Callithrix jacchus: one gene and its partners. The protein of the gene in region 5 interacts with the protein of the main gene of each other region in a biochemical or structural test. Links are inferred from orthologs where the notes say so. Each region holds a gene or a part of one and is shown on either strand. Other genes may lie near its edges. The genes, in order: BCL2, PAK1, BCL2L2, YWHAQ, BAD, PRKACA and AKT1.

Region 1 (4,110 bases), on a different chromosome or scaffold from region 5:
TATGTCGACTCTAGGTAGTGAAAAACAAAAGATTCTAACAACATTCTAGTGAATTAGTAACTCATACACAAATTATAGAACATAAAGAATGCAGCCGATGCAAATTCTGTCACTGACGAGGTAGCAAAGCCATAGACCAATACCCCTCAAGACACTGCGTCACGCCCACTGGAAATATGGCACACACTGGAGATTCCAGTGCAAGGACTTTGGAATGTCAATTTAGCTCTTTACAAACACAACTAAGTTTTCCAGGGAAAGGGACTCAGGTTGGTTTTCCTCTTTTGGAAAATTTTACCGAGTTAGAAAAAGCGTACCCTTAGTCTTCTGTGGAGTCTGTTCTTCTCATTGGGGTGTTCCCAAATTTAAGTGCACCAGGGGCGTGTCTCAGGGGAGCTTGTTTAGGATGCAGACTGTCAAGACCCAACCTGGCATCTGGTTCATAAGCAGGCCCTGAAACCTCCCTCCGGTCCCAACAAGCTGCTCAGGCCAGGAAACTGTGGTCCTGGGGACTCCTGGACCTCCAGCTCGAGAAACACTGAAGGGGTACCATTGACCACCACATCCTACTGGACCTCCTCAACTAGCGAGCAAGTTAAAGACTTTTAGAGGGCAGGCGTCATCACTCAGGTTGGGAAAGAACACTTTGTCCAGAGGAAGAGGTTATGGACGCCGGGAAGCAACAACCCTGATTTTATTTCACCAGCCCCACAGCCTCCCCTTACCCCAGGAGCCCACCCGCCGCACTCCAACCCCCACATCTCGGACCTGCAGCCTCAGCCCAGACTCCCATCACCACGTGCACCTACCCAGCCTCCGTTATCCTGGATCCAGGTGTGCAGGTGCCGGTTCAGGTACTCGGTCATCCACAGGGCGATGTTGTCCACCAGGGGCGACATCTCCCGGTTGACGCTCTCCACACACATGACCCCACCGAACTCAAAGAAGGCCACAATCCTCCCCCAGTTCACCCCGTCCCTGAAGAGCTCCTCCACCACCGTGGCAAAGCGTCCCCGCGCGGTGAAGGGCGTCAGGTGCAGCTGGCTGGACATCTCGGCGAAGTCGCGGCGGTAGCGGCGGGAGAAGTCGTCGCCGGCCTGGCGGAGGGTCAGGTGGACCACAGGTGGCACCGGGCTGAGCGTAGGCCCCGTGGCGGCGGCGGCGGGGGCGGCTGGGGGCGGCGGCGGCGAGGTCCTGGCGACCGGGTCCCGGGGCGCGGCGGGACCGGGCGTGTGCCCGGGCTGGGAAGAGAAGATGCCCTCCGCGGGGGCGGCCCCTGGGGGCGCGGCGCCCACATCTCCGGCATCCCACTCGTAGCCCCTCTGCGACAGCTTATAGTGGATGTACTTCATCACTATCTCCCGGTTATCGTACCCTGTTCTCCCAGCGTGCGCCATCCTTCCCCGAGGAAAAGCAGCGGGGGCCAACGGCACCTCTCGCTCCAGCTCCCACCCCACGGCCCCCAAAGAAAGAAGAAGAGTTATAATCCAGCTATTTTATTGGATGTGCTTTGCATTCTTGGAAGAGGGGGTGTCTTCAGTCACGCGGAACACTTGATTCTGGTGTTTCCCCCTTGGCATGAGACGCAGGAAATTTTTATTCCAATTCCTTTCGGATCTTTATTTCATGAGGCACGTTAGTAGTAAGCATTGTTAATATCAGTCTACTTCCTCCGTGATGCTGAAAGGTTAAAGAAGAAACAAACTCATAAGTTAAAAAAATCAGGTGCATTTTCCTGTATGCCCTGGCTGAAAGCAGGGCATACGCACTACAAGTAACACGGCTAAAAAGAATGTATTAAACTGCCTGGAAATTAAATTTACTCGAATGCACTTTAAGTAAAAATTCTCAAATGTTTTCATTGAAAGTTACATTAAGCCAATTTCCTGTGCAGAGAACTTACTTGTATTTTTTAAGAACAGCATGATCCTCTGTCAAGTTTCCTTTTTTGTAAAACCAAAACAAATGCATAAGGCAACAATCCCATCAATCTTCAGCACTCTCCGGTTATAGCTGCTTTGAAACTTCCCAATGAATCAGAAGTCGGGGGGAGGGGGAGTAAAAATTAGGAGGATTTCCAGATCGATTCCCAGACTTCTGCTTCACAGAAATGTCAATCCGCAGGAATCCCAACTGGAGATCTCAAGAGCTCGAGAAAAAAAGGCAGCGGCGGCGGCAGATGAATTACAATTTTCAGTCCGGTATTCGCAGAAGTCCTGTGATGTTTTCCCCTTCTCGGCAATTTACACGCGCGCATACACGCGCGGGCACAGGCATGAATCTCTATCCACCGGACCGCTTCACGCCTCCCCGGCAGAGAGACAGGGGAGGGGGGACGACGGAGGAGCCGGGGACGGGGGCAGCAATCCTCTTCTGATTAAACTCCGAACAGCGAATGCATTTTCCGAAAAGCTGCTGGATAAATGAAGGCAGGACGCGCCTGGCCCGCCGGTGCCGAGCGCTAGAAGCCCGCGCTGTGTGTGGTGCGGCGAGGGGTGGGGAGAAGGAGGTGGTGGGGGAGGGCTTTATTTTTTCCCTCTTTTCCTAAAAAGGACGACTGCTACGAAGTTCTCCCCCCTGGACCCCCTTCTTCCGCTGCACCCCACCGGCGCACCCCGCCTCCGGGCTGCGCACCCTTTCTCCTCCTCCTGCTCCTGCGCGACGGCGCTGGCTGCGGCCGCCTCCCGGAGCTCCCGCCGCGCAGCCCGCTCCGAGCGCAGACGGCCGCCGGCGGGGAGGGCCCGGCGCCCCGGCACCTTCGCTGGCAGCGGCGGCGGCGGCGGCGCGGCGGGGCCAAGGCGAGCGGCGAGCGGGCGGCGCGGCGGGCGGGCTGGCGGCGCAGAGGGGCGGGCGCGGGAGGAAGGGGGCGGGCGCGGGGCGGGGGTGTCTGTCCTCTTACTTCATTCTCCGCATAGCCCGACCGGTTTCCTGTGCGTAACGTCACACGGTTCATTCAAAAAAAGAAGAAAGAAAGAGCCCTCCTCTGAGCCGCCCGACCGCCCCCTCCGCCCCGCTCGCTGGCCCGGGTTAAAGGCGCCGCGGCGGGCCCGGGAGCGGCGCACCCCACCGGGGGCACATGGCGCGCGGGGCCGCGACCGGGGAGGGCGCACCCGGGCCGGCCACCCGCCCGTTCCGCTGCGTTCGCCCGGCCCGGCCGGTGGGTGGCGCGGGTTGCGCGGGCGGCGCAGGCCTCCCGCGCGGCCGCGGCGCGGTGGGTGTGAGCGGGCCTTCTGCTCAGGCCTGTGGAGGGCCGGGCGCGGACCTCGGGGTCCGCGAGGGGGTGGGGGCTGCCGGGGAACCGCACGCGGCCCGGCCGGCGACGGAGAGCGGAGGGGGGCGGCTGGCGGGAGGGTGCGCCATGAAAACAAGGGCTGGAAAAGCGCCGGGAACCGCCTGGACCCTTTCTAGCCGACTGAGAGAGAGAGAGAGAGAGAGAGAGAGAGAGTGAGAGAGTGAGTGTATGTGTGTGTGTGTGTCGCCTGGACCCTTTCTAGCCGTGTGTGTGTACACGCGCCTACACACACACACACACACACACACGCCATGTTACCCGCGCTCTGCCCCCGGGGGAAGACCCAGGCCAATGCCACCCCCACCCCCCACCCCCAAGCAGGGGGACCTTAGCTCTGCCCTGCGGTGAAAACAGGCGACTCTGAAACGTTTTAAGCAATATCCAGGGACGCCCCCAGCGTAGTGTTTACTTTCAAGTGGATTACTAGGTGTCGGCGCACTACACACGCGCGCGCATTCTCGCCGGTGTCCCCGTGAATATCCAGTACGTGGCCAAGGCCAGGCAGAACTCAGCGCTCCACGGAAGGAGCCAGCGAGGGGTTATCAAGGGCTTTAAAATAATTTAAGTCCGTGTTGTTCCTCTGTCCCTAACACGTTCTGCACTGGGTCAGGGCTGCACGCTGAAGAGTTCTGCATAGTAACTTTCGGGCCCACCGTCCTAACGCTGGGGTGGGTGGGCTCCTAAAGGTCTCCACCTTTCTCCACCTTTGCCTTGTAGCCAATCCTAGATGGCCGCACTTTCTCAAATGATGTACGCAGATATATACACATCCACACTCGCAGACGTGTGTAAGTGCAATCAGTTTTAAATTCATCGGA
Region 2 (3,500 bases), about 58 Mb from region 5:
TCAAAAAAAAAATATAATAATAAACCCTTAGTTCTGTAACATTTCATAAGTTTACAAAGTACTTTTAAATACACTATCTTATTTTTACAGACATATGAGATGGGCATTATCATCATCCCTACTTTACAGACAGGGAAGTTGGAAGTTCAGTGGCTTGCACATAGTCTCATGGCCTTCAAATGTAAAACCTGATCCTTATGTTATACTCTTTCAAGTATGTATACACAGCTGCTGCTTTGCATCCTAGAGCATAAAGCAGCTGACTGTATTTCTAGAATGTGTATATGGGGAACAAGAGAGAACCTCAGTTGGAGCTCAAGGTGATTTACCATCTTTATTGCCAGGCCTTGTACCTCATTGCCACCAATGGGACCCCAGAACTTCAGAACCCAGAGAAGCTGTCAGCTATCTTCCGGGACTTTCTGAACCGCTGTCTTGAGATGGATGTGGAGAAGAGAGGTTCAGCTAAAGAGCTGCTGCAGGTAACTGTCCCTATGCAGGGAAGCACCAAATTTAAGGAATCACTAAATCAAGCCTTTTTTACTTCATGTTTTTCTATAAGGTAGTGGATATTATAGAACTAGGCTTCTCTTCTACCACTTCCCACATTCACTCTGTTCCTACTGCCCTAACTTTTATCCCTGGGACTTTGCTCATACTCTTTTCTTAGCCTCTTCCTGTACACATTCTCCTAGGCTCAGTTTACAATCTATTTTCTGAGCACACTGAGCTTTCCATGTAGCTTTCTTGCTTGCTTGCTTCCTTTCCTTTCTTTTCTTTCTCTTTCCTTTTCTTCCCTTTCTCCTCTCCCTCTCCCTCTCCTCCCTTTGTTTTCCATTTTTTTTTCTCCATAGGGTCTTACTCTCTTACCCAGGCTGGAGTGTGCGATGACGTGATCTTGGCTCACTGCAGTCTTCCTCTCCTGGGCTCACTTAAGTGATCTTCCCACCTCAGCCTCCCAAGTCGCTGGGACTATAGGTGCACACCACCATGCCTGGCTAATTTTTTAAAAAACTTCTTTGTAGAGACAGGGTTTTGCTATGTTGGCCAGGCTGGTCACAAATTGCTGGGTTCAAGCAATCGGCCTACCTTGGCTTTACAAAGTGCTGGGACTACAAGCATGAGCCACTGTGCCCATCCTGCTTGTATTTTTCATTAGCACTTCCTATGTTCTGTTTGAATTAGTCTGGCAGTTTGTTTGAGTCTTGATGAGAAACAGCTCTCTAACAACCAAATCCTACACAAGTTATATTTTGCTGGGATTAACTCAAAGGATACATTTTTAGCAAAGGAATGTAAGTTTTATTTATGTTTTATTTTTTGAGACAGGGTCTCTATTGCCCAGGCTGGAGTGCAGTGGAGCAATCATGGCTCACTGCAGCCTCAACCTCTCCAGGTTCTGCTGATCCTCTCACCTCAGCCTCCAGAGTAGCTCGGACTGCAGGCATGTACCACCATGCCTGCCTAATTTTTTATTTTTTTGTAGAGACAGGGTTTTGTCATGTTGCCCAGGCTAGGCTCAACAATCTGCCCGCCACAGCCTCCCAAAGTGCTGGAATTACAGGCATGGCATGAGCAACTACACCCATCCATGGAACATAAGTTTAGAAGATAATTAGTGAGTATGGCTTTTGGAGTCTTTACACTTTCTTCATTGGAAATCCTCAGATGATGGCATTGATACTCTACTTGTTGAGTAAGATTTTGCCAGTTTGTGGGGAAATTCGGAGTCAGGGATTTACCAGGCCTTTTATTCTCCCACTTGCCTAAACCTGATAATTTTATATGGTTGCAAAAATTGCCTTTGGCAGGCCACATCATTTGTATTTAACATGTATGTTTCAAGTACAATTTCTTATAACTAGAGTTCTTTTATTGTATTGCCCACTGGTGATTTAATAGTAAGTATCACATGCAACTTTATGAAGGCATGCACTGTCATTTACTTTTATATTATGAAGCCCAGGAGTGACAGAGCAGGGCAGGGCAGGACCTAGCATATTGCCCTGTGTTAAAGTTAGTTATGAGTCTCTTTCCTACTGTATTATAACCTCTATTTTATTAATCCCTCAGTCTCATGTTTTACCTAGGACCTGACTCAGGATGGGTACTTAGAAAATATTTATTGAATTGAATGGAATTGCTGGAATAACCTACATTGGAATATCACCTTCTGTAACATATTTAGCATCTCTTTGTAATTGAGGTTACTGATTATGGAGCATTGGCCTATTAGGTAAAGAGATCTGGGTTCTGCCAAGGGTAACCCATTAGTCTCTAGTATCTGTTGGGACTACAAGTCTCTTAGTACAATGTACTAAGAACTCTTGCTGTTCATAAGAGTTGTATTCTAGAAATTGTAGGTACTGGAAAATGTGTAAATACTGTATGCTAAGCCTGTGATTAGTAGAGATGCCATTGTTGGTTAATTACCAAATTATAGTTCTTAAAAAGTTCATGCCCTCTAAAGTTTTCTTCCTGATATGGTAATATAAATAGTAATAAATGCATTATATTGAATCTTTACTATATTTTAGGCACTAAACCCTTTATATATTTAGGTGCTAAACACTTTATGTATTAGCTTTCAAAACAACTCTGTGAGTTGTAGGTTCTGTTATTCTCTTTTTTTTTTTTTTGAGATGGAGTCTTGCTCTGTCTTCCAGGCTGGAGTGCAATGCTGCAATCTCAGCTCACTGCAACCTCCATCTACTAGGTTCAAGCGATTCTCCTGCCTCAGCCTCCCAAGTAGCTGGGATTACAGGCTTGTACCACCACACTCAGCTAATTTTTGTATTTTTAGTAGAGATGAGGTTTCACCATGTTGGCCAAGCTGGTCTTGTACTCCTGACCTCATGATCCACCTACTTGACCTCCCAAAGTGCTGGGATTACAGGCAAGAGTCACTGCACCCAGCCAGTTATTCTCTTTTTTTTTTTTTTTTTTTTGAGACAGAGTCTCACTCTGTTGCCCAGGCTGCAGTGCAATGCTGCAATCTTGGCTCACTGCAACCTAAACCTCCTGGGTTCAAGCAATTCTCCTGACGCAGCTTCCCCAGTAGCTGGGATTACAGGTGCCTGCCACAACACCCAGGTAATTTTGTAGTTTTAGTAGAGACAGGGTTTCACCATGCTGGCCAGGCTGGTCTTGAATTCCTGACCTCAGGTGATCTGCCTGCCTCAACCTCCTAAAGTGCTGGGATTACAGGCTTCAGCCACCGCACCAGCAGTTATTGTCATTTTTACAGATGAGGAAACTGAGGTTTCAAGTGTTTAGTAACTTTTCCATTATAGCTGATAAGTGGTAGATTCAGGATTTCAGCCTGTTTGGCTCTCAATTGTGTATGCTCTTGGCCACTGCTCTTATAGGCTCAAAGAGTATCACAACTAGAAAGCCCTCAGGGCTCATCTAGTCTGTTTTGTTTATTAGACAGAGAAGGAAACTGAGGCCTCCCAGTTCAGTGTTGGATCATGCTGCTCTCAACTTAGTGGAATTGTAGA
Region 3 (4,172 bases), on a different chromosome or scaffold from region 5:
CCATTTCTAAGACAGAGTCTCATGTCACCCAGTCTGGAGTGCAATGGCATGACCTCAGCTGACTGCCACCTCTGCCTCCTGGGTTCAAGTGATTCTTGTGCCTCAGCCTCCTGAGCAGCTGGGATTACAGGTGTGCACCACCACACCTGGCTAATTTTTGTATTTTTAATAGAGATGGGGTTTTGCCATGTTGGTCAGGCTGGAATGGAACTCATGGCCTCAAGTGATCTGCCTGCCTCAGCCTCCCAAAGTGTTGGGATTATAGGAATGAGCCACCAAACCCAGCTAGTTGTTACTATTATTGCTGCAGAAAAGACCTTGCTTCTCTAGTGACCATAAGGGCAGTTGGTAATACCAAGGCTTGGATTGGAGGTAGAAGCAAAGGGAACTAGCAGAAAAAGAGAATTGGATCTCCTCTTTCTGGCCTTTGTTTGGGGTGATGTTTAAATGGAGGAAATGCCAGATCCAAGAGCCCAGGGGGCTGGCTGTGAGTGCCCTCATGTGGATCAGCTGTGGTTAGACTGCTTAACGCCTTGTGGTCTGCCCCATATAAATATACTGCCATGTATAAATAATGGCCGAATATATGTGTAATCTGGAAAGATAAACATCAAGTTTAACACTGGCAACCTGCAGGGAGGGAAGTGGAATGGTGTGTGTGTGTGTGTGTGTGTGTGTGAGTGAACCTGCATTTTATTACTCCGTACCTCTTTATTTGATTTTTTTTTCCATGAGAAGTAGTTCATGTGTTAGGTAAAAAATAAAATAAAATAAAGTAAAATAAATCTATTACAAAAGAATATGAAGAATTAAAGAAAAGGACCAGCAGAAACCGCTTGTGATCCAAGTCCTGGCTCCCTGATGCCTGGCTGAAGCCCAGCCCACAAGCAGAACACTGGGTTAAAGGTCGTGGAGAAAAGAGGATGGGAAAGGTTTGGTGTCTGTGTGGTGTCTGCTAGTCCCAGAAGGGTAAGGCACCTGGCAGGCGGTTTTCAGCTTAATGGGAACTGCTCCTGTTTTCCAGGCACACACAATCCAGGGCTGGAGAAGTTCAACAAGTGCATGGAACATCGGAAACCTCCTGGAAATGCTGAATTTGCCTCGAGATGTCCTGAAGTCCAGCATACTTCTCTGGGCAGCCTCGAGGCTCAGGAACCCAGCCCAGCCCAGCTTACTGTGCCCTCTCAGCCAGTCCTTCTTAGCCTTCAGCAGCCCTCCCTCTTCCTGAGTAGTGGCCCTTCGCAGGCCTGCGTCCCAGCCCCGCCCCTCTCTCTGGACGCATCTCTGGGCCCCATCATCACCCGGCGCCGGGCCCTCCCTCTGCCCCCCCTTTCTCCTCCCTCCTTCCCTCCCTCCTTTCCTCCCTCTCTCCCTCCCTCCCAGCTCCTGCACCAGGAAACGGCCCGGATCCCGGCAGCGGCCTGACCCGTGAGATCCCTAACCTGGCAGGCGGGCGGGGTTGAAGACTGGCTGAGGTGGGGGTAAGGGAGGAGCTGGGCCTTTGGGCTGCACTAGGGGGAACCGGGAATAGAGATGGTGTCGGCAGGAAGCCCTTCGCCCTGGGTTTCCCAGGAGGACAGTCATTAAACATGGATTCGGCCACACAGCTAGTAGAACGTTGGGGGCAGGGGCCCAGGCCCAGAGCTGCAACCCCAGCCCTCCCAGGCCAGACCCTGATCCCTGGCCTTCCCCTCCTGGTTCTGATCTCCCCCTCCCCTTTTCAGGGCTCCACGCTGGCTGGGAGGATGAAAGGCCCCAGCTGGGGGCTCCTTGCCACCAGCGCTGTGTCTTAAGAGCTGCCATCCCGGCTGGGTGAGTGTCTCCTTCCTTTCTCTGTCTGGAGGAACCCATTGCGTCTCCCACCTTTCTCTTCAGCCCATCTGCTCCCCTTCATCTTGTGCCTCTGCCAACATCTTTACATCTTGCATTTGGGGAGGTCCTAAGCCCCTTCCTCTGGCCAAGAAGGTGTGGACTGAGCAGGGGGAGGTGTGTAGGGGTGTCACAGAGCTGACGTTGTCTTATTATGAAAAGAATCTAAAGTGTTCTAAACAAAATTTACTTGTTTTGCATTTAATTTTGCATATTAGGATGTAATGGCCAGCCTATCGAACCCTGGTCCCGCATCATAACTTAATTCCCTTGTTCTTGCCTCTCCCTGTCTAGTGAGCTCTGAGCATTTCCTCCATCCTCCCCATCTCACTGGGTTGGGCAAACCAGAAATTCTCCTTCTGGTTCTCTGTCCATATATTAATGCCAGTCTTTCATCCTTGCCTCTTATAGCTGCCCGGATGGCGACCCCAGCCTCCGCCCCAGACACACGGGCTCTGGTGGCAGACTTTGTAGGTTATAAGCTGAGGCAGAAAGGTTATGTCTGTGGAACTGGCCCCGGGGAGGGCCCAGCAGCTGACCCGCTGCACCAAGCAATGCGGGCAGCTGGAGATGAATTCGAGACCCGCTTCCGGCGCACCTTCTCTGATCTGGCGGCTCAGCTGCATGTGACCCCAGGTTCAGCCCAACAACGCTTCACCCAGGTCTCCGATGAACTTTTCCAAGGGGGTCCCAACTGGGGCCGCCTTGTAGCCTTCTTTGTCTTTGGGGCTGCACTGTGTGCTGAGAGTGTCAACAAGGAGATGGAACCACTGGTGGGACAAGTGCAGGAGTGGATGGTGGCCTACCTGGAGACGCGGCTGGCCGACTGGATCCACAGCAGTGGGGGCTGGGTAAGAAGCTTCTCAATTGCCGCTCTGCACATCCCTCTGCAAAGCTGGTCTCCAGGGGGAAGATGGGGGCTCTGATTGGAGGCTGAGGCAGCTATGTTGGGAATGAGGTATGGGGCTGAGGCTCCCCGTCTGGGTGGAATCAGACTGAGAGATGCCTGGGCTCTGCACTCCAGGGCTGCCATGCAGTCAACACTGGATGGGCTCATGGTCCCAAGCAGAGGGCAGAATATGCACCCAAGGAGTGCCTGCAGGGGAATGGTGTCAGGGACTTTTTGCATCTGAGTCATGGCATGGGAGGTGGGGAGGATCAGGGATGGGGGGTGGTCAGGCAATCCTTGGCAAAGGATGCTAGTTCTGAGCAGAATTTTTCGCCAAGGAAAGGATGGAATTCACTGGAGACAGAGTGGGCAAATGAACCAGTCTCTCAGGGTGGGGGTATGCCTGGGGGGATCAGAGGGGCTTGTAGTAGAGCCTTGACTAGAGAGGAGCTGGGAATGGGGTAGTGCTCGCAGTGAATGGAACTGGAACTCTTCCTCTCCTCTTCTCTCCACTCTTTCCTCTCCTGATATCCCTTTCTCCTTCTTTCTCTCCTACTTCCCTTCTCTCCCACAGGCGGAGTTCACAGCTCTATACGGGGACGGGGCCCTGGAGGAGGCGCGGCGTCTGCGGGAGGGGAACTGGGCATCAGTGAGGACAGTGCTGACAGGGGCCGTGGCACTGGGGGCCCTGGTAACTGTAGGGGCCTTTTTTGCTAGCAAGTGAAAGTCCAGGGCCAGGTGGGGCTAGGTGTGGCTGGGGGTCTGGAGAGCAGGAACAGAACAGAGAAATGCCCTTGGAAGAAGTGGAGTTGGTGGATGGGTGGGCATGGAACAGGGATGGGCAGGGGAAGGGTAGTGTGTAAGGGAGCTGAGTAGGCCAGGTAGGCGATTAGAAGAATGAGCAGGACATAGGGGAGGGGAATGTTTTGGCAAGTTTAGGGGGGCAGGAGATGGAGTCGTTCCAGGGCTGGGGGAGGTGGGAGGGATCATGCCTATAGGTGTGGGCACATGAAACGACCTGGAACTTGGTTTGTAGCCATGAGGAATGTGGACTTGCATAAGCAGTTGTGTTTCCATTGGATGAGTGGAATTTGGGGAACATAGAAGGTACATCCCTTTGGAATGGAAGCTTGAGGGTTCTTGGGCGATAGGGAGAGGTGGCTGTAACCATGGGCTGCTTGGACACACGTGTGCATGTGCACGCATGCTGCTGTGCATGCTGGGCTGCCTGGCAAATCTGGTGGTGGTGGTATTCCCCAAGGAGAAAACATTCCCTCTTGCAATGGCAAGAACTAGGAGCAGTTCTCTGCCCTGCCCCCCACAACCCCTCCTTTCCCTTGCCGTTGTCCTGATGCCTCAAGGCTTAGAGAGAAACATTGTATCCAGACATAGGGCTCTGCTGCTTCTCTCCAGA
Region 4 (4,224 bases), on a different chromosome or scaffold from region 5:
GCACAAAGCAACCTTTACAAGTCAGGACAGGGAGGGGCAGCCACGAGGGAGTCTGAATTTCTGGAAAGTCGGCACCTTCTCCTCCCATCTGTCTGCACTCTCAGATCTTCCATTCTAGAGATTCTCTAGATTCGCTGCAGTCTCCACTGAGAATGGGAAATTCTTTCTTGCCTGTGGCATTCTTGGCCCTTCAATGATCCATTCTCCCTAGACCTGCTGGAATAGGGATCAGAGCAGTGTGAACCCAGATGGCAATTCTCATCCTAAGATGGCACAAAGGCCACTCACCAGAAGGGCAGGACAGTCACCCTACCTGGATGGAGTGAGGGCACTGGGGAAGTGCCAGGAGAGACAGGAGTGCTTTAAAAGGAAAGTGAGATGCCAGGGATGACCCTGAATGGGAGGAGCCTGGGGAAATCTTCCCCACTTCAGCAGGGTGTTCCCCAGGAGAAGAAAATCAGAAATCAATACCCAGGGAGAGGATTTCAGATTTTCAAGTGTCCTCTCACAAATAATACCAGAAACGAAAAGCGTGTGCACAGGCGACAATGATGTGAAAAATTATGTATTTAGACGCATAACCTGGAAAGCCTGAAAGAAACATAAAAATTGATTTTTGGGGAGGGAGATGTTATGGGCAGGCTTTTTTTGGGGGGGAGGGGTAGTTATAGGTGTTTCCCTGCAAATTGTGCTTACTGGCATTCCCCATTTTAAAGAAAACCGCAGAGACTCGCCTGGATCTTCTGGGACATACCTTTTCATAAGGGAATTTTTTTGTTTTAGGTGCCCATCTGAAAACTTGAATGTATCATGTAAATGCCATACTGAAGCCAATGTCTCCATGAATCAATTCTTCTTTAATGGGGATGTGGTTTGCTGAATTCGGAACCCTAGTGGCAACGTCGTTAACGTCTGGGTTTAGTGTCTTGGGATCCAAACCTTTGTCACGGAGGGAAAGGTGGAGGAAAGAAAGGCCCCTGTGCTCCAAACAGCCGATTATGTCACCCTCCCAAGTCCAGCCTCGGCCGGAGCCCGCGAGATGCAATGCACCATCCGCAGCGGGAGACGCGGCCGCCGCCTCGGAGGTCGTGCGCGCCTCTGGGTCTCGTGCCGCACCCAGAAGTGCCGGGGTGGCGGGGAGGCTGAGGGGAGTTGGTAACGGCATCACCATGGCAACAGTGACGTCCTTTTACCCTGGATCTAATTGGAGGAAACCCCGTGGCCGGAGCCGCAGCCTGCCGGCCAACCGAACTTCCCCGCGCCGACCCACCCTCCTAGCCTCCGCGTTCCCTCCCGCCCCGCCCCCTCGCCCCCTTCCGCGCGCTCGGTCCTCACTGGCCCGTGGCGCGTCGGGGGGCGGGACTCTCGGGGCAAGCTCGGCGCGTAATTGGGCGGCGGACCGCCCCTCGGCTCCGGGGTAGGCTGAGACGGGAGGGTCCTCGGCTAAAGCCAAAGGCAGATCAAAGTGGTGGGACTCGCGTCGCGGCCGCGGAGACGTGAAGGTGAGCATCTGGGTTGGCCGCGGGCCTCCTCCGGCCGCTCTGGGCTTGAGGGCCCGGCTGAGGCGCCGCCCTTGGGAGCGGCGGGCTGTCGACGCCGCTCCCCTCAGGGACAGCTCTGGGCGGGAAGGTGCGGGGCCAACGGTCGCTTCCATCTTGGGCCGGCCGGGCGGGGGTGGCGGGAGCGGCCGCGGCTCGGGCTTCCCGCGCGCGGGGCCTCCGTGCCGCCCCCGCCTCCTCCTGCCGCGGGCCGCGGCCTCTCCGGGCGCCTGACGGGGGCGGGGGCTGGGACTGGGGAGAGGGAAATTCAAGCGGCCGCGTGTGCAGGAGACAAAAGCGGGCAGCGGGTCGCATTGTCTGACGGCGCTCCCTCCCTGCTTTTTGTTCTCGCCTCGCCGCCCCGCCCCTCCGCAGCTCTTGAGTCTCCTCCCGCTCCGGGTCGGCGCTCGCCCTCGCTCTCCTCACCCTTCGCCCCGGCCCCGGCCCTGCGCCCGCCATGGAGAAGACGGAGCTGATCCAGAAGGCCAAGCTGGCCGAGCAGGCCGAGCGCTACGACGACATGGCCACCTGCATGAAGGCAGTGACCGAGCAGGGCGCCGAGCTGTCCAACGAGGAGCGCAACCTGCTCTCCGTGGCCTACAAGAACGTGGTCGGGGGCCGCAGGTCCGCCTGGAGGGTCATCTCGAGCATCGAGCAGAAGACCGACACCTCCGACAAGAAGTTGCAGCTGATTAAGGACTATCGGGAGAAAGTGGAGTCCGAGCTCAGATCCATCTGCACCACGGTCCTGGTGAGTCCTCGGCGCGGGGAGCGGGGGAGGCCTTTTGTGGGGTGCTTTTCATCGAGAGTTTCGCGGGCAAGCAAGGAAACGTGAGCCGGACCTTGCCGGACTGTCTGCCGAGGTGGAGGGTTTCAGGCGAGCCCTGGCTTCCCTGGTTCTGGAGACTCCCGAAACCGCTTTTCCAAGGACAAGTCCATCTCTTTTCCCAGATGCTGGGTAGCTACCAAACGATGGAATTTGGAAACATCCAAGTAGGTCTCTGCGAGGCTGAAAGGCGGTTGTAAGTTTTTTGTGCCGGGAGACTGTGTCCCGAGATCTCTGAGCCGTTTAAATGTATTGAGTCGGTTCACCCGCTTCAGGCAGTTGAAAGAAGGCGCAGGCACCTTTTTGTTAGACAGTGTGGTAGGGATTTTCCCCAAACCCGGTAATTGAAATTTACTTCGAAAATCTGAGCAGTTACTTCATTTTTCTAGTAAGAATGTCTGTTGCGCCCCCCACCCCTTATAAACAGGAGAGATGGGGGAGTTGGGTAAATGTTAAAAGGGCACAGCTCTATCTGAAGAACACAATGTCCTGGTAAATTTCAACGTTTAGTAACATTTCTTTGCTGTCGCGTAGCTGTGCACTAGTGTTGAAGCGAATTCGTTTCTGGTTTGGAGCAAGCTTTCCAGGTTTTGAACTGTCCAGCCTTAGCAAGGGTGATTGTTGGGTGGAGTAGGTGGCTGGTGTGATTCACCCTTATTAGTGAGAGAGAACATTTTTAGCTTTGTCATTGCACGAATCTTTTGATCAGTTAGATAAGTTTTTAAAATTGAAATACCAGTATTATATGCAGGAGTGTTTTTTAAACGTTTCAGTGCTGCAGTCATTTCTTTGAATAAAATAGGAAATAATCTGACATGATTTGCCTCTCTTTAAGTGCCACTTTTACATGAGGCCTACTGACTTTTTATGTGTTTGTGCACATCGTATTTTAGGTGGGCTTTGGCATGCTAGACTGGTGATTTTTTTTTTTTTTTTCAAAAGGGAATAGAAAAAATAATTTCGCTCTGGCTCCCTCCCCAACTCCTTGTTTAAAAAAAAAATCCACAGAACTATTTTAACCTATTTTTCTAATACGACGACAGGCGCTCCGAACAAAACCATGGTGGATGGAAATAGCTGGTAAAGGGGCAAAGAAAGTAATGCAGACAGAGTGCGCACTGAAGTGGAGAAAGCTTGAGGTTATTTACTTTATGAAGTCAAAACTTTGTTTTATTCATCGTGTGTTCTTAGCTTCCAGTCCCTGTTTGACGTTGCAGAAGCCCTTGTAAAAGTTCTTTGGACTGAATTGCTTGTATTAAAAAAAATTTGCCCGCTTGAAAGTAATGGTAGACTTCACCTTCAATAACATATGGTAATGGCTGTTAACAGCATTATCTGTTACCAAGGAAAGACTCAAGAATTCCATGTTAACAGGGTTTTCTGTATATGTATTTTGGGTGCTCTCACAGCATATATTTCAGTCTCTTTCTGAAAAGACTATTACTTTGCAGTTAGTAACCTTGAGGCAATTCAGAATCGCCACATAATTTTTCTTTTTCTCCATCAAGGTGACTCTGAGTCAAAGGAATATTTGTTTTATTTTGTGGCTCTTACAAATTTTACTTTTTATGATGGCATAAGTTGGGGGAGAGTTTTGTTTAGTTGATGTGTAGCTTGAGAGAGAGACCAGGTATTATTAGAACTCTCATACAGATCATTTCAATAGGAGAGAACCCCTGAATTTAGGACCGTCTCTTTTATATACTAAGAAGAGATAGAATACTTTACCTTGATGAATCTGAGACACCAAGGCATAAATTAAATATTCATAAAATGGCTTAAGAGGCTAATCGTGGCTTGGTGGCCAGCCTATCTTGGGAAAGCACTTCTTCAAGTTGGCAACTGTATTGAGAGCTTTCT
Region 5 (4,239 bases):
CGTCTCTAATGAAAAAGCGAAAAATGCCAAGGGTGGTAGCTCATGAGTGTAATCCCAGCACTTCGGGAGGCTAAATCGGGGTCGGATCAAGACCATACCCACTAACAGGGTGAAACCCTGTCTCTACTAAAAATACACAAAATTAGCCAGGCGTGGTGGCTTGCACCTGAAGTCCTAGCTAACTCCTAGCTTGCACCTGGAGGCCTAGCACTCCAGCCTGGGCAAGAGAGTGAGAGTTCATCTTTAAAAAGAAAAAGAAAAAGTGAAAAATAATTTAACTGGGTGTGGTCCACACACCTGTATTCCCAGTTACTTGGGAAGTTGGGGTAGGAGGATCACTTAAGCCCAGAAGTTCCAGGCTGCAGTGAGCTGAGATTGCACCTCTGTACTCCCTCCCGGATGACAGAGTGAGACCCTGTCTCAAAAAAAAAAAAAGAAAAGAGAAAAAAAGCAAGTTATAGGGTCCAATCTGAGGAAGGGAGTGAGTGTGTGTGGTAAGAGAGGGAGAGGGAGGAGGCCTCTTAAGCCTTCTTAATCCTGAAAATGGGGAGGAGGTCGTTTAAGCTTCAGTGCAATAGTGACCTGACCTAGTTTTCTATTTTTAGAGATGGGGTCTGGCTGAATTGCCCAGGCTGGTCTTGAATCCCTGGGCTCAAGCCAGCCTCCTGAGTAGCTGGGACTACAGACATGTGCCACCCCACCCGGATTGACCTAGTTTCTTTGTTCCGAAATTATCTGTTGTTGTTCCAGGCCAGTGCTGGGCACAAGGTAGTGGAGCCTATTGAGAAATGGCCGTGACCCCCAGTGTTCATTCATCCTTCCATCTTGCAGCTTGTGCTCCCCACCACACATAGCCCCGCTGTCTGGGAGGACTGTCTGCCCCTTGAGGTCACCTGCTCCTGGCAATTGTACCAGGACAGCCTTGCTGTGGGTGCGAGCCACAGGACAAGACAACACACCCGGGAGCTGGAAGGCCCAATCCCAGGGAAAGCACATAGCCTGGGGCAGGGCACCAAGGAGCCTTCCAGCCCCACCTCCTAAGGAAGGAAACCCCAGGCAAGTGTAACCTTAGGCAAGTCACTTTTCCTTTTTGCATCACTGCCTGCCTGTCACTGATTTCTATCCTGGCCCCACACTAATAGCTACCCATTATATATATATGTATGTATTTTAAGAGATGGAGTCTCCCTATGTCACCCAGGCTCACCTTGAACTTCTGGGCTCAAGCGATCCTCCTGCCTTGGCCTCCCCACGTGCTGGGATTACAGGTGTGAGCCACCAGGCCCAGCAGCTGCCATTTTGCCACTTTAATGTGCACCAGCTCTGTAATCAAGTGAATCCTATATGTTCCTGCTAATTAACCCAACAGTCCTACAATGGTGGTGATTAATTGCTCTGTTTTACAAAAGAGGAAACTGAGGCTCTGAGAGGTTGGGGACTGCCCCGAAGCCTTCAGTGCGTGTGGATGCAGCTGGGATGCAGGGAGCCAATGGGCTGGAAGTGAGGCGACCCAGCAGGTGGAGGCGGAGGGGAACTCACCTCCATGGTGGCTGCTGCTGGTTGACTGTCCCTGCTGGTGACTGGCGTCCCCCGGGAGGCCTGGGGCCTGGCGTCGATGCTTGCCAGAGCCTGGGGGCCTGTCCCCTGCGGTGCTGGGGCTCAGGCCCCTCTCTGCAGAGCTGGAGTCTTCCTGCTCACTCGGCTCAAACTCTGGGATCTGGAACATGCTCTGGGCTGTGAGGACAAGATGTTAGGTAGTCAAGGCACAGCTGGGGCCAACGGTGGTCCTGGAAGGCAGAGGCAGGTGCCCCTGGCTCCCTCTCCCACCCTGGCGCCCCGAAGCCCGCCAGGCCTCCCGGGCCCTCATCTGTCTGCTGGGTCTGGCCTGGCAGGGAGCTGAGGCTGTCGGCTCAGGACCTCAGTCTCCCGTCAGAACCCTGGTGGACCCAGGCCCCTACCCAGGGGCCTACCCAGGTCCCGCCCCGCCCGTGGTGACGGCGGACAGGTCTCACCCCAAGCCCGATCTCGAGGCCCCTGACCCGGGCCTGCCGCCTCCCTCCTGCAACCGGGCTCCCGGCCCTAGTTGCCTGGGCAACGGGAACTGTCAGCGACCTGCCCCAATCACCTCTCGCAACGTCACTCGGGTAGGTCCAGAGGCGGGGTCAACCCGGCCCGGCCCCGCCCCCCCTCGTCCCGACCTCCTAGCCCACCGCCTTTTTCCTACCTCCCGCGGCCCGGGTTCTCACATCCCTACTGCCTCACACCTTGGATGTGTGTAGGAGCAGGAGAGGGATTCTCTGGGGTCCCCATTTGGAACCTGGAGACCTGCTTCTGCAGACAAGTCCTTCAGCCCCTCTGGGCCTTAGTTTACCTCCAGTGAAGAGGGGATGGTGACAGCTCTCCCGGGAGCCAGTGAAAACTTTGTGAAAGGAGTGATTACTACGGGCGAAGGCGCTCGGCACAGCCGCAACTGAAGCTCAGCCGTCGGATGCGATTATTGTTGCTATTGTTACTGCTTCGCCTGGACTGGGTGACCCGGTCGGAAAGTCCCGTTCCCCGCTCCTCCTCCCAGGCGTGGAAGCTTCGCGCCGCCCGCCTCGGGGGACACCTCCCGCGCCATCTCGGGGGCACTGGAGATAAGGGAGGGAACCTCCTCCCTGGCTGGGATGGCTGCCCGGGCGCGGGAGGAGGGCCGGGGACCCAGTGAGGGTGGACCGTAGGGCCCGCGGGGGCTTCGCGCCTGGCAGGCGGCAGGCCAGGTGAGCGGGGCCGCGGGCGCGCCAGGACGGGGGGCGGGCCCGCGCGGGGGATTCGGGGCTCCGCGGGTTCAGACCCGGGGGCGGGGCCCGGAAGCCATCTTGGCTATGGGCGGAAGTTTTCTTTAGAGACCGAGGGTCGGGGATTCGTTGTCCCCGGCCGGGAGGCAAGACCCCAATTTGGGGATGGGGGAGAGAAGCGTGGGAACTGGCGGCCCCCCGAACTAGTAAAGGCTGGCGGCCCGGGGCGCGGCCTACCCGGGGGTCCCCTGTGTGCGGCACAGTCCCCCGCAACTCGGCCGCCCGCCTGCCGCCTCCTGTAACCCCGGGCGCCCGCCAGCGGCGCAGCTCGTGCCAATTCTCGAACGGCTCCACGCCGGGTGCGGCGCTAGACTGCGGAGCCAGCCCGGCCCCTGCGCAATTTGCGTAGCGAACGGCGCCCGCGCAGGCGCAGGAGGGGGCGGAGCAGCGGGAGCCGGGGAGCCGGAGCCCCGGGTCCCCACGATCTGAGCCGGCTCTCCCAGCAGCGGCCTGAGGACCTGGCATCCGCCTCCTCCCGCCCCTTGACGCTGGAGAGTGGACGCGGTGGAGGGGTGGGGCGGGGGCAGCCTCCGAGAATTCCGAGGACAGAAGGCAGAGGCTCTCCCCATCCGCATTATTGGAGGAGAGAGCCTCCCCCAACTTGGGGAGGGGGAGAGCGGGGCATTGGGCGCCCCCGATAGCGGCCGCTGCCCTGGGCCAACGGGCATCGGCCGGCTCTCCCCCTCCAGCCAGGACGACACGAGCGATTCAGGCCAGGGACTCCTTTCCTTGGGCCTCTGCTTCCCTCCATCACTGGCTCTGGGGTAGGCCCAGGGAGGAGACACCACCAACCCTCAACCGATCTGCCCTGGAGAGAAGAAACTGCCCTTCCATGCCCCTGAGTGAGGGGCCTGGGGCCCAGGCTGCCCATGTTCCCCAAGGGCAGGGGTCTCTCTGTTGAGGAGGAGAGGTCTGTCAGCCACAACTTCTTTCCTCCTGAGCGCCCCATCTCCCTCTCTGCACCCTGCAATTCCCACCCCTCCGTATTTATTTCCTTGGCCCCGCCGACAGCCCCTCCTTCTCTGTCTCAGGGATTCAGGCCTCCCTCCCTGACATGGAGAGTAACCTGTCTGGCCTGGTGCCTGCTGCCGGGCTGGTGCCTGCGCTGCCACCTGCTGTGACCCTGGGGCTGACAGCCGCCTACACCACCCTGTATGCCCTGCTCTTCTTCTCCGTCTATGCCCAGCTCTGGCTGGTGCTCCTGTATGGGCACAAGCGTCTCAGCTATCAGACGGTGTTCCTGGCCCTCTGTCTGCTCTGGGCTGCCTTGCGTACCACCCTCTTCTCCTTCTACTTCCGAGATACTCCCCGAGCCAACCGCCTGGGGCCCTTGCCCTTTTGGCTTCTCTACTGCTGCCCTGTCTGCCTGCAGTTCTTCACCCTGACGCTTATGAACCTCTAC
Region 6 (3,500 bases), on a different chromosome or scaffold from region 5:
TCTGACCTCAGGTGATTCACCCACCCTGGCGTCCCAAAGTGCTGGGATGACAGGCGTGAGCCTCTGAGCCTGGCCCTCTTCCCTTTCTATCTCTCTGTTGGTTGTCCTCCCTGACTCTTGGCCTGCCCCCAAATCTTCAGCAGGCTTAAGGAGGGGAGGCCCACCTTCCTCTGGTAGATGGCGATCCAGTCAGTCGTGGCAAACCACTTGTGGTTCTTGATATCGTTGACCCCATTCTTGAGGTTCCCAAAGCGCTTGGTGAGATCTACCTGCAGGAGGTTCCGCAGGAGGTCCTTCAAGTCAGAGCTGAAGTGGGAAGGGAACCGCACCTGGAGGAAGGGGTACAAGGACAGGGTGGGAAGCTGCTCTGGAACTTGGGGAGCCCAGGATGCTTCCTTCTCCATCCAGCAGTCCTACTGGGTGGGTGCCTCCAAAGCTGAGTGCCTGCTGGCATCCTGTAAAACAGCTCCTTGGGCCCACCCTAGAGTTTCTGGTTTAGGAAGTCTGATACTGTGGCCTGAGAATATGCATTTCTCAAACAACTTTTTAAAAATTAAAGAGCTAGTTACTCTAAGAAGTTTTTGGCTGGGCACAGTGGCTCACGCCTGTAATCCTAGCACTTTGGGAGGCTGAGGTGGGCAGATCACAAGGTCAGGAGTTTGAGACCAGCCTGGCCAACATGGTGAAACCCCAGCTCTACTAAAAATACAAAAATTAGCTGGGCATGGTGGTGCGTGCCTGTAGTCCCAGCTACTCCAGAGGCTGAAGCAGGAGAATTGCTTGAACCCAGAAGGTGGAGGTTGCAGTGAGCCGAGATTGTGCCACTGCACTCCAGCCTGGGCGACAGAGCAGGACTCTGTCTCAAAAAAAAAAAAGTGTTTGTAGAGACAGGGTCTCGCTACGATGCCCACGCTGGTCTCGAACTCCAAGGCTCAAATGATCCTGCTTCGGCATCACAAAGTACTGGGATTATATGCATGAACCACCACACCCAACAAGAATCTGCATTTTTTTTTTTTTCTTTGAGGCAGAGTCTCACTTTGTCACCCATGCTGGAGTGCAGTGGCGCAATCTCAGCTCATTGTAACCTCCGCCTCCTGGGTTCAACCAATTCTCCTGTCTCAGCCTCCCAAGTAGCTGGGATTACAGGCGCACGCCACGAGACCCAGCTAATTTTTATATTTTTACTAGAGACAGAGTTTTGCCATATTGGTCAGGCTGGTCTCGAACTCCTGACCTCAGGTGATCCACCCACCTTGGCCTCCCAAAGTGCTAGGATTACAGGTGTGAGCCATCGTGGCTGGCCCAAAAGTCTGCATTTCTAGCCAATTCCCCAGCAATAGTCCTGCTGGAAAGGAGTCCCCTTTAACAACCATAAGGCAAGTGCTATTATGGTTTCCATTTCAGAGAAGGGGAAACTGAGGCTTGGAAGGGTTAAAGAACTCTTCAAAGGTCACGCTGAGGAGTGGGACGGGGCAATTCCATCTCAGGTCTGTGGGACTCTAGAACTTGCATTCTCAGCTACTGCTGCCGTAAGCCATCTGTGCTGGGGTCTGTAGACTTCTGAAATAGTCATGCTTATGTTAAACGTTTTTCCCTCTCTCCCTGCCTAGCTAAGTCTCTTCCATTCTTTAAAGCCCAGCCCAACTCTTGTAGAAATCTTCCCCAAACGTTCTGAGTACATAGCCTTGTAGACAAGTCGTCACTGGAGTTATAGTTGCAAGAAATGACTTCTTGTTCCTGCTGTGCCTCTTACATGCTGTGTGACCTTGGCCATGGCCCTTAACCTCTCAGGGCTGCACGAGGAAGATAATACCACTGAGGGTGCGGGGGGACTGGAAAATGCTACAAAGAAGGGCATCATGTGCGTCTTCCCCTGTGGGATCTTCTGTGGCTTTTTTCTCCATTTTTTCCCACTCTGGGCCATTTTCTTGGCAATTTCTATTCGGCCTAGTGGCAAATGCCTCATCTTTCCTTTTCTTTTTTTCTTTTTTTTTTGAGAGATGGAGTCTTGCTCTGTTGCCCAGGCTGGAGTGGAGTGGTGCAATCTCAGCTCACTGCAACCTCCGCCTCCTGGGTTCAAGCAATTCTCTGCCTCAGCCTCCCTAGTGGCTGGGATTATAGGCACCCGTCACCATGCCTGGTTAATTTTTTGTATTTTTAGTAGAGATGGGGTTTCACCATTTTGGCCAGGCTGGTCTTGAACCCCTGACCTCGTGATCTACCTGCCTTGGCCTCCCAAAGTGCTGGGGTTACAGGTGTGAGGCACTGTGCCTGGCCTTCCATCTTTCCCTTTTAGTGATGCTATGTGTCTAACCAGAGAACCCCAGTTGCCTGAATTTTTTTAAGACAGGATCTGGCTCTTAGCCCAGGCTGGATTGCAGTGGTGCAATCACAGCTCATTGCAGCCTTGATCTTTTGGGCTCAAATGATCCTCCTGCCTCAGCCTCCCGATTAGCTGGGACTAGGGGTGCACCATCATGCCCAGCTAATTTTTAGATTTTATTTTTTAAAGAGATGGGGTCTGGCTATGTTGCCCTGGCTTGTCTGGAACTCCTGGCCTCAAGCCTCCACCTCCCAAGGTGGTGTGATTACAGGCGTGAGCCATTGCACCCAGCCCCAAAGTTTCAAAGCCAGCACTGGGCCCAGGCTGAGCCTGAGGGTGCTCCCACCGGGTGTGGTGACTCTGGGCCGACCAGAAGCTCCTATGTAGGAGATGCTGGACCAGGTCGGAGGATGGCTGGGTCCTCCCAGCAAGGTGGCTGAGCTGAGGGCAGAGGTGGGGTCCCCAACCTCTCTGGCCATCAGTGCCTATGATGACTCCTCTTACTCACTAAGGTGTGATCTTGGTCAGGACACATCTCTTTTCCCAGCCAGTTTCCTCACCTCTCCTACAGAGGGTGCCACCATCTCAGGGTGTGACTGAGGGGGGTGAATCTGGGGCCTGGCAGATGGCAGGCACTTTGCACCTGTCACAGATACAAGCTTACATGGTTTTACCACCCTTAATCTGAACTTTCAGAGTTTGACAAATCTGTGTTTTCGAGAGGAAGCATGGGCCTTAAACCCTAAGCGAGGGTCCTTCCTGGTGAGGCTGCAGACTGCACCTGGGAACCAAATACATCTTGGAACTTGCGAAAACTCACACTGACGGGGACAAGGAGAGGTGAGGAGGGTCGCCTGGCAAGGTGGTTTGTGTTTTGCAGCAGGGAAGTTCCCGTGAGGCTCGGGATTTTGGAAGCCCCTGGGATTCTGGAACCGTGGGGTTGGCGCTGGACAGCCAGGGGGCTCATGGTATTGGCACATCCAGCTTCACCACCTGGCCTGACTTACGGAACTTCTAGGTGATTCTGACAACAAGCAGGGCTCCCCAGAGAGTAGGATGGGTGAGCGGGGAAGGGACTGTCTCATTCTTTCAGGACTGTGCCCCTCATCCAGGCCTCACCTTTCCAGAGACGATCTTCTCATAGATCTGGATGGGCTGGTCTGCGAAGAAGGGC
Region 7 (3,985 bases), on a different chromosome or scaffold from region 5:
CCACAGGTCCACATAGGCCTGGAGCTGGAACGCCCATGTCCTCATGCCAGGTCCCTTCTGCCCCTGAAGCTCCTCTGACCCAGAGCACACACCTCAGAACAACAGAAAGCAGCCTGGGCCACTCTCCAGAGACGACACCTGCCTCCCAAGAGGCAGGAGAAGGAGCTGCGCCTGGGCTCTGCAGACACGGCCACCCAGCCACTCACACACAGGGCACAGCCACCCCCACTCATCTTAGCGGCCACAGCACCCCCGAAGGCACCATCACGTCATGCGTGGCCAGCCCAAGCAGCCGTGGCGGAACTGTCGCCTAGGAGTTCAGCGGAGAAGCAACGTGCCCCAGGCCATGGCCGCGGGGAGTCCTGGCAAAGGAAACGGGCGAGGGCCCACTCCGGGACAGCGCCCTACCCTGCGCGGAAAGTCCAGGAGCAGCAAAGGGCACCTGCGAGGGGCTGTGGCTGGGCCCGGAGGATAGTCACTGCAACTCTCCCTGCTTCCCGCCCCCAGCCAGGCCTGAGCCCTGAAGCAGGGGTGGGGGCCGCCCAGCACAGCCCTGCTAGGGACAGGGAGACAGCTGGCACCTCCAACCTGTGTTGTGGGTACGCTGGCCCTGCCAGCAGGATGGCAGAGCACATTTGCAACACACAGGGGACCCGGGGTACAGGGAGTGGGAAAACGAGGCAGGCCCTGGAGGACAGGCTTTCCTCGGCAAGCAGGGCCGGCCTTGCAGGTGGAAGCCCGCCTGCTCTCGGCAACAAGAGAGGCCGTGCCTGCCAAGGGCATATGTTACATCCACGCTACCTCGCATCCTCAGTGCCCACTATACCGGGGATGGGGGAGGAAGAGCTGCGGGGAGAGGTCCAGGACCCTCTCTCCTGGCCTGAGGCTGGGGGCCAGGCGACAGAGCCCAGAGGCTGCAGACGCTGGCTGGACCCCAACTCAGGGACCCCACAAGCCATTCTCCACACCACAAGGTCTCCCTCCCACCACTGCACCCTGGTGTAGATGGGGAAACCGAGGCCTGAGGCGCTATATGAACTTGCCCTTGGAAAGGGACACTGTGGTGGAGTGGCAAACAGGGGTCAAACTCAGCTCTCTGGATGCCCCACTGGGCCTGATGTCCCGTCTCCGCCAGGCCCCTCCCGAAGGTATGACCTGAGCAGAAAACTGAAACTCACCCAGGCCTCAGACAAGTACCCCGGCCTGGGCCCAGCTGGCTGATGGGTGCCCCAGTAACTGGGCCTGGGCCCCTGGGCAGTCGAGGCCCTGGCATCTCCTGGGTCAGCCCTGAATCCAACAGTCCATCAACAAACAAACATTTGCCGAGGATGAGGAAGCGGCAGCTCCAAGCAGCAGGGCGTGCGGGACACAGAGGCACAGGATAGGAGCAGGGGGTCCCCGACACCAGAGGGCTGTGAGGCAAGGCAACAGAGTACCTCCAGGCACAGGGAACAGGACTCCTGGGGAACAAGCAGGGACAGCAAGGGCGGGGGATGGAGACGGTATGCTGGGCAGCAAGCCACGTCAGAAGCTCCCCAAGGACTGCAGGCTCTGCAGCCTCCTTGTCTCTGTCTCCAGGTCCCGCGTGCCATCCTGGTAGCTGCCCACTCGAACACTCCAAACCCACAGCTGACCACACCCCCAAACCCCTGGCATCTCATCTTGGTCACTCCTTCACCCCACTCCCAGGCTCCTGTGGCTTCTCAGGCCTGTTCTGCAGTGAGCTCCTATACATCCCACAATGCCCCATCTTGTGACACCCACTTTTGCCAGTCTTCCCTGTCTGCTCCAGCTGTGTCTGGGGTCTCCCCACTAGCACATGTGAAATCCATCTGCTAGAGGGTGTATGTAAAGAGGGGTGGGCTGCTGGCATGAGATCACTAGAACTTAGGAGGGAACAGGTCTGGAAAAAGAAGCAGAAGGTAACTGCCCCAGGTCCAAAGGACCTGGACCTGAACAGGAACCTGCCCCAGCGGGACAGAGGAGTCTGACAGCCATCCAGCCTCCTCTGCACCCCACTGAGCATGGACGGTGGGCAAGGCAGAAGGGCCTGCACAGGGTTGGAAGGGGTGAGGCTGTGGCCCCAGCTCCCATCCCACCAGTTTCTGGCCAGGCCCCCTCGGCCAGCACCCTCTCCATGGGCTGCAGGGCCAAATGAGGAGGAGGACTCAGGGGCTGGGGGGGCCTGGGCTCACGCAGCTCTGCAGCTCCAAGGCAAACATACCCTGTGCCCATGTGGTACGGATTCCCCCCCACCCCCAAAACTCAGGCCTGAAGCAGGCACCAGGCCAAGCCAAGCAGCCCTGCCCTGCCCTGCCCTCAGGAGCCCTTGGGCAGTGCCCCGGGCCGCCAGCGTGCCAGGCACTGGAACAACCCAGCGTCCTCACCGCCTTCCAGGAAAGAGAGGCTGGCAGCAGCTCCCCTGCCTGCAAGGGCCTGCACCAGGAAACCACTGTGATGGCTGGCCCTGCACGGGGCCTCATCCTCCCAGCCTCCCTAGGCCAGGCCCTCCAAGCTATGGGAAGACATGGGACCCCAGATACTCACCCTAGGCCAGCCAGGAGCCCCGGGGGGGGGGCAGCCTGTCCCAGCCAACAGGCCTGAGTACAGGCACTCAGACCCCGCGGCCACCCCCGTCCCTCCCTCCCCAGGCCCAGCCCCGGCACTGACCTCGTTTGTGCAGCCAACCCTCCTTCACAATAGCCACGTCGCTCATGGTGCCCGGTGCCCGAGGCTCCCTCTACGCTCACGCACTCCTCTCAGGCCGCTGATCCCCGAGCCCAGCTGACCTGACCACAGCCTCTGGGAGAAGTAAAGGGAGCTGTGTATGAGGCCGTGACTGGACAAGGACAGCTCCTCGCCCCGAATGAGCCCGAGACCCACCGCATGCGCCTGAGCTCCACCACACCTGCCTTCCCAGGGGAGCTGCCATCCCTTTAGGCTCCCTGACCCCCATGTGCCGGCCTGCCTTACCTCTCCCCAAAACACTCAGGCTGCCAAGTAATTGAACAGTTTCCTGGCTCAGAGCCGGCGGCCCCTGCCGCTGTGGCCACCCCAACAGCCAGGCCCTGAGAGCTGCTGCCTTGCTCACCCCCCTTTCCCACCTCCCCCTGCCTTTAGACAAATCACCTCTTTCCCCAAAAGGCCTTCCCAGCCTCCCTAATATGCTGCACCAGCTGACAGGCTGCCTCCTCCAGGCAGCCCCTTTCACCATCTTGGCCCAGGCTGGCTCGGCCTTCCCTAAGCCCCTGGTGACAGATGGCCCCATTTGCTCTCCCTGTCTGTGGTGTTCCTCCCCAAGGATCCTGGGACAGAGCACAGGGCTCCTCCCTGCTCCCCAGACTAGGAAAGCAAAGAAACTCAGGCATGATGAAGGCAGGACCAGGATGCAGGCTGCAGGCGCAAACGGGAGCCCAGAGCCCTCCGGGGAGATCCCAAAATCCTCCTGGGAGAAACCCCAGGCCCCTCCTAAACCACAGCGCCCCTGTCGGTCTGAATCTGGTTCATTCATTTGACCAACGTGTACCAGGCGTTTTGCCAGGCCCACTGCCGGGTGCTGAAGACAGAGAGGTTCAGACAAGTCTGTCAGTGAGGAGCGCCCAGTCCAGGGTGCTTACAGACCCGTAATTACAGCAGTTGGGAGGCAGCAAGTAAGTGGAGGAGCACTGGACAGTGCCCTCCAGCAGTGCCCACCCTGAAGTGCCCACCAGCCAGCCCTCACCTGAGCACACTTAGGCCATTGATCCTGTACGGCTTCCTCATTTCCCCTCTGATGGATGAACTCCTAGGCATCCCTCAAAACCCAGTTCCCATATCACCAACTCCAGGCATCCCCAGAAACAGCATGTGGCATGCTCTTCCTGGGACCAGTCCTCTGCTACCCTTCCAGAGAGACCTTCCTGAGGGGAGGAGGGTCCTCTCTGGGACCTCTAGGCCAGGCAGAGACCCCTGGCGACCTCTCTCCCTGCCGCCAGGCCACCTTTCT

Evidence for each region.
Region 1: the proteins of BAD (region 5) and BCL2 form a complex in vitro, tested with the Homo sapiens proteins (5 studies listed by BioGRID and IntAct, with this or other methods). The link is inferred for Callithrix jacchus from reciprocal best matches to the Homo sapiens genes BAD and BCL2.
Region 2: of the proteins of BAD (region 5) and PAK1, one has a biochemical effect on the other in vitro, tested with the Homo sapiens proteins (3 studies listed by BioGRID). The link is inferred for Callithrix jacchus from reciprocal best matches to the Homo sapiens genes BAD and PAK1.
Region 3: the proteins of BAD (region 5) and BCL2L2 interact in a biophysical measurement, tested with the Homo sapiens proteins (4 studies listed by BioGRID and IntAct, with this or other methods). The link is inferred for Callithrix jacchus from reciprocal best matches to the Homo sapiens genes BAD and BCL2L2.
Region 4: the proteins of BAD (region 5) and YWHAQ form a complex in vitro, tested with the Homo sapiens proteins (2 studies listed by BioGRID). The link is inferred for Callithrix jacchus from reciprocal best matches to the Homo sapiens genes BAD and YWHAQ.
Region 6: the proteins of BAD (region 5) and PRKACA form a complex in vitro, tested with the Homo sapiens proteins (2 studies listed by BioGRID, with this or other methods). The link is inferred for Callithrix jacchus from reciprocal best matches to the Homo sapiens genes BAD and PRKACA.
Region 7: of the proteins of BAD (region 5) and AKT1, one has a biochemical effect on the other in vitro, tested with the Homo sapiens proteins (6 studies listed by BioGRID, with this or other methods). The link is inferred for Callithrix jacchus from reciprocal best matches to the Homo sapiens genes BAD and AKT1.

Annotation. Positions count from the first base shown.
Region 1 is NC_133514.1:106,292,019-106,296,128, forward strand, and holds the start of BCL2 (apoptosis regulator Bcl-2), read right to left. Parts: upstream 2,801-4,110; 5' UTR 1,904-2,800; intron 1,681-1,903; 5' UTR 1,398-1,680; coding exon 810-1,397; intron 1-809. UniProt on the Homo sapiens protein: Suppresses apoptosis in a variety of cell systems including factor-dependent lymphohematopoietic and neural cells. Regulates cell death by controlling the mitochondrial membrane permeability. Appears to function in a feedback loop system with caspases.
Region 2 is NC_133511.1:63,616,968-63,620,467, forward strand, and holds part of PAK1 (serine/threonine-protein kinase PAK 1), read left to right. Parts: intron 1-344; coding exon 345-482; intron 483-3,500. UniProt on the Homo sapiens protein: Protein kinase involved in intracellular signaling pathways downstream of integrins and receptor-type kinases that plays an important role in cytoskeleton dynamics, in cell adhesion, migration, proliferation, apoptosis, mitosis, and in vesicle-mediated transport processes.
Region 3 is NC_133509.1:57,649,357-57,653,528, forward strand, and holds the start of BCL2L2 (bcl-2-like protein 2), read left to right. Parts: upstream 1-1,372; 5' UTR 1,373-1,475; exon of another isoform or gene 1,476-1,481; intron 1,482-1,724; 5' UTR 1,725-1,812; intron 1,813-2,280; 5' UTR 2,281-2,288; coding exon 2,289-2,720; intron 2,721-3,332; coding exon of another isoform or gene 3,333-3,482; exon of another isoform or gene 3,483-4,172. UniProt on the Homo sapiens protein: Promotes cell survival. Blocks dexamethasone-induced apoptosis. Mediates survival of postmitotic Sertoli cells by suppressing death-promoting activity of BAX.
Region 4 is NC_133515.1:105,347,839-105,352,062, forward strand, and holds the start of YWHAQ (14-3-3 protein theta), read left to right. Parts: upstream 1-1,424; 5' UTR 1,425-1,502; intron 1,503-1,913; 5' UTR 1,914-1,995; coding exon 1,996-2,289; intron 2,290-4,224. UniProt on the Homo sapiens protein: Adapter protein implicated in the regulation of a large spectrum of both general and specialized signaling pathways. Binds to a large number of partners, usually by recognition of a phosphoserine or phosphothreonine motif.
Region 5 is NC_133511.1:121,342,697-121,346,935, forward strand, and holds the start of BAD (bcl2-associated agonist of cell death), read right to left. Parts: upstream 2,801-4,239; 5' UTR 2,311-2,800; coding exon 2,265-2,310; exon of another isoform or gene 2,181-2,264; intron 2,094-2,180; exon of another isoform or gene 1,971-2,093; intron 1,735-1,970; coding exon 1,540-1,734; intron 1-1,539. Other genes in the region: integral membrane protein GPR137, read left to right, coding at 3,892-4,239. UniProt on the Homo sapiens protein: Promotes cell death. Successfully competes for the binding to Bcl-X(L), Bcl-2 and Bcl-W, thereby affecting the level of heterodimerization of these proteins with BAX. Can reverse the death repressor activity of Bcl-X(L), but not that of Bcl-2.
Region 6 is NC_133523.1:12,873,214-12,876,713, forward strand, and holds part of PRKACA (cAMP-dependent protein kinase catalytic subunit alpha), read right to left. Parts: coding exon 3,446-3,500; intron 330-3,445; coding exon 165-329; intron 1-164.
Region 7 is NC_133509.1:139,660,245-139,664,229, forward strand, and holds the start of AKT1 (RAC-alpha serine/threonine-protein kinase), read right to left. Parts: upstream 2,801-3,985; 5' UTR 2,717-2,800; coding exon 2,671-2,716; intron 1-2,670. UniProt on the Homo sapiens protein: AKT1 is one of 3 closely related serine/threonine-protein kinases (AKT1, AKT2 and AKT3) called the AKT kinase, and which regulate many processes including metabolism, proliferation, cell survival, growth and angiogenesis.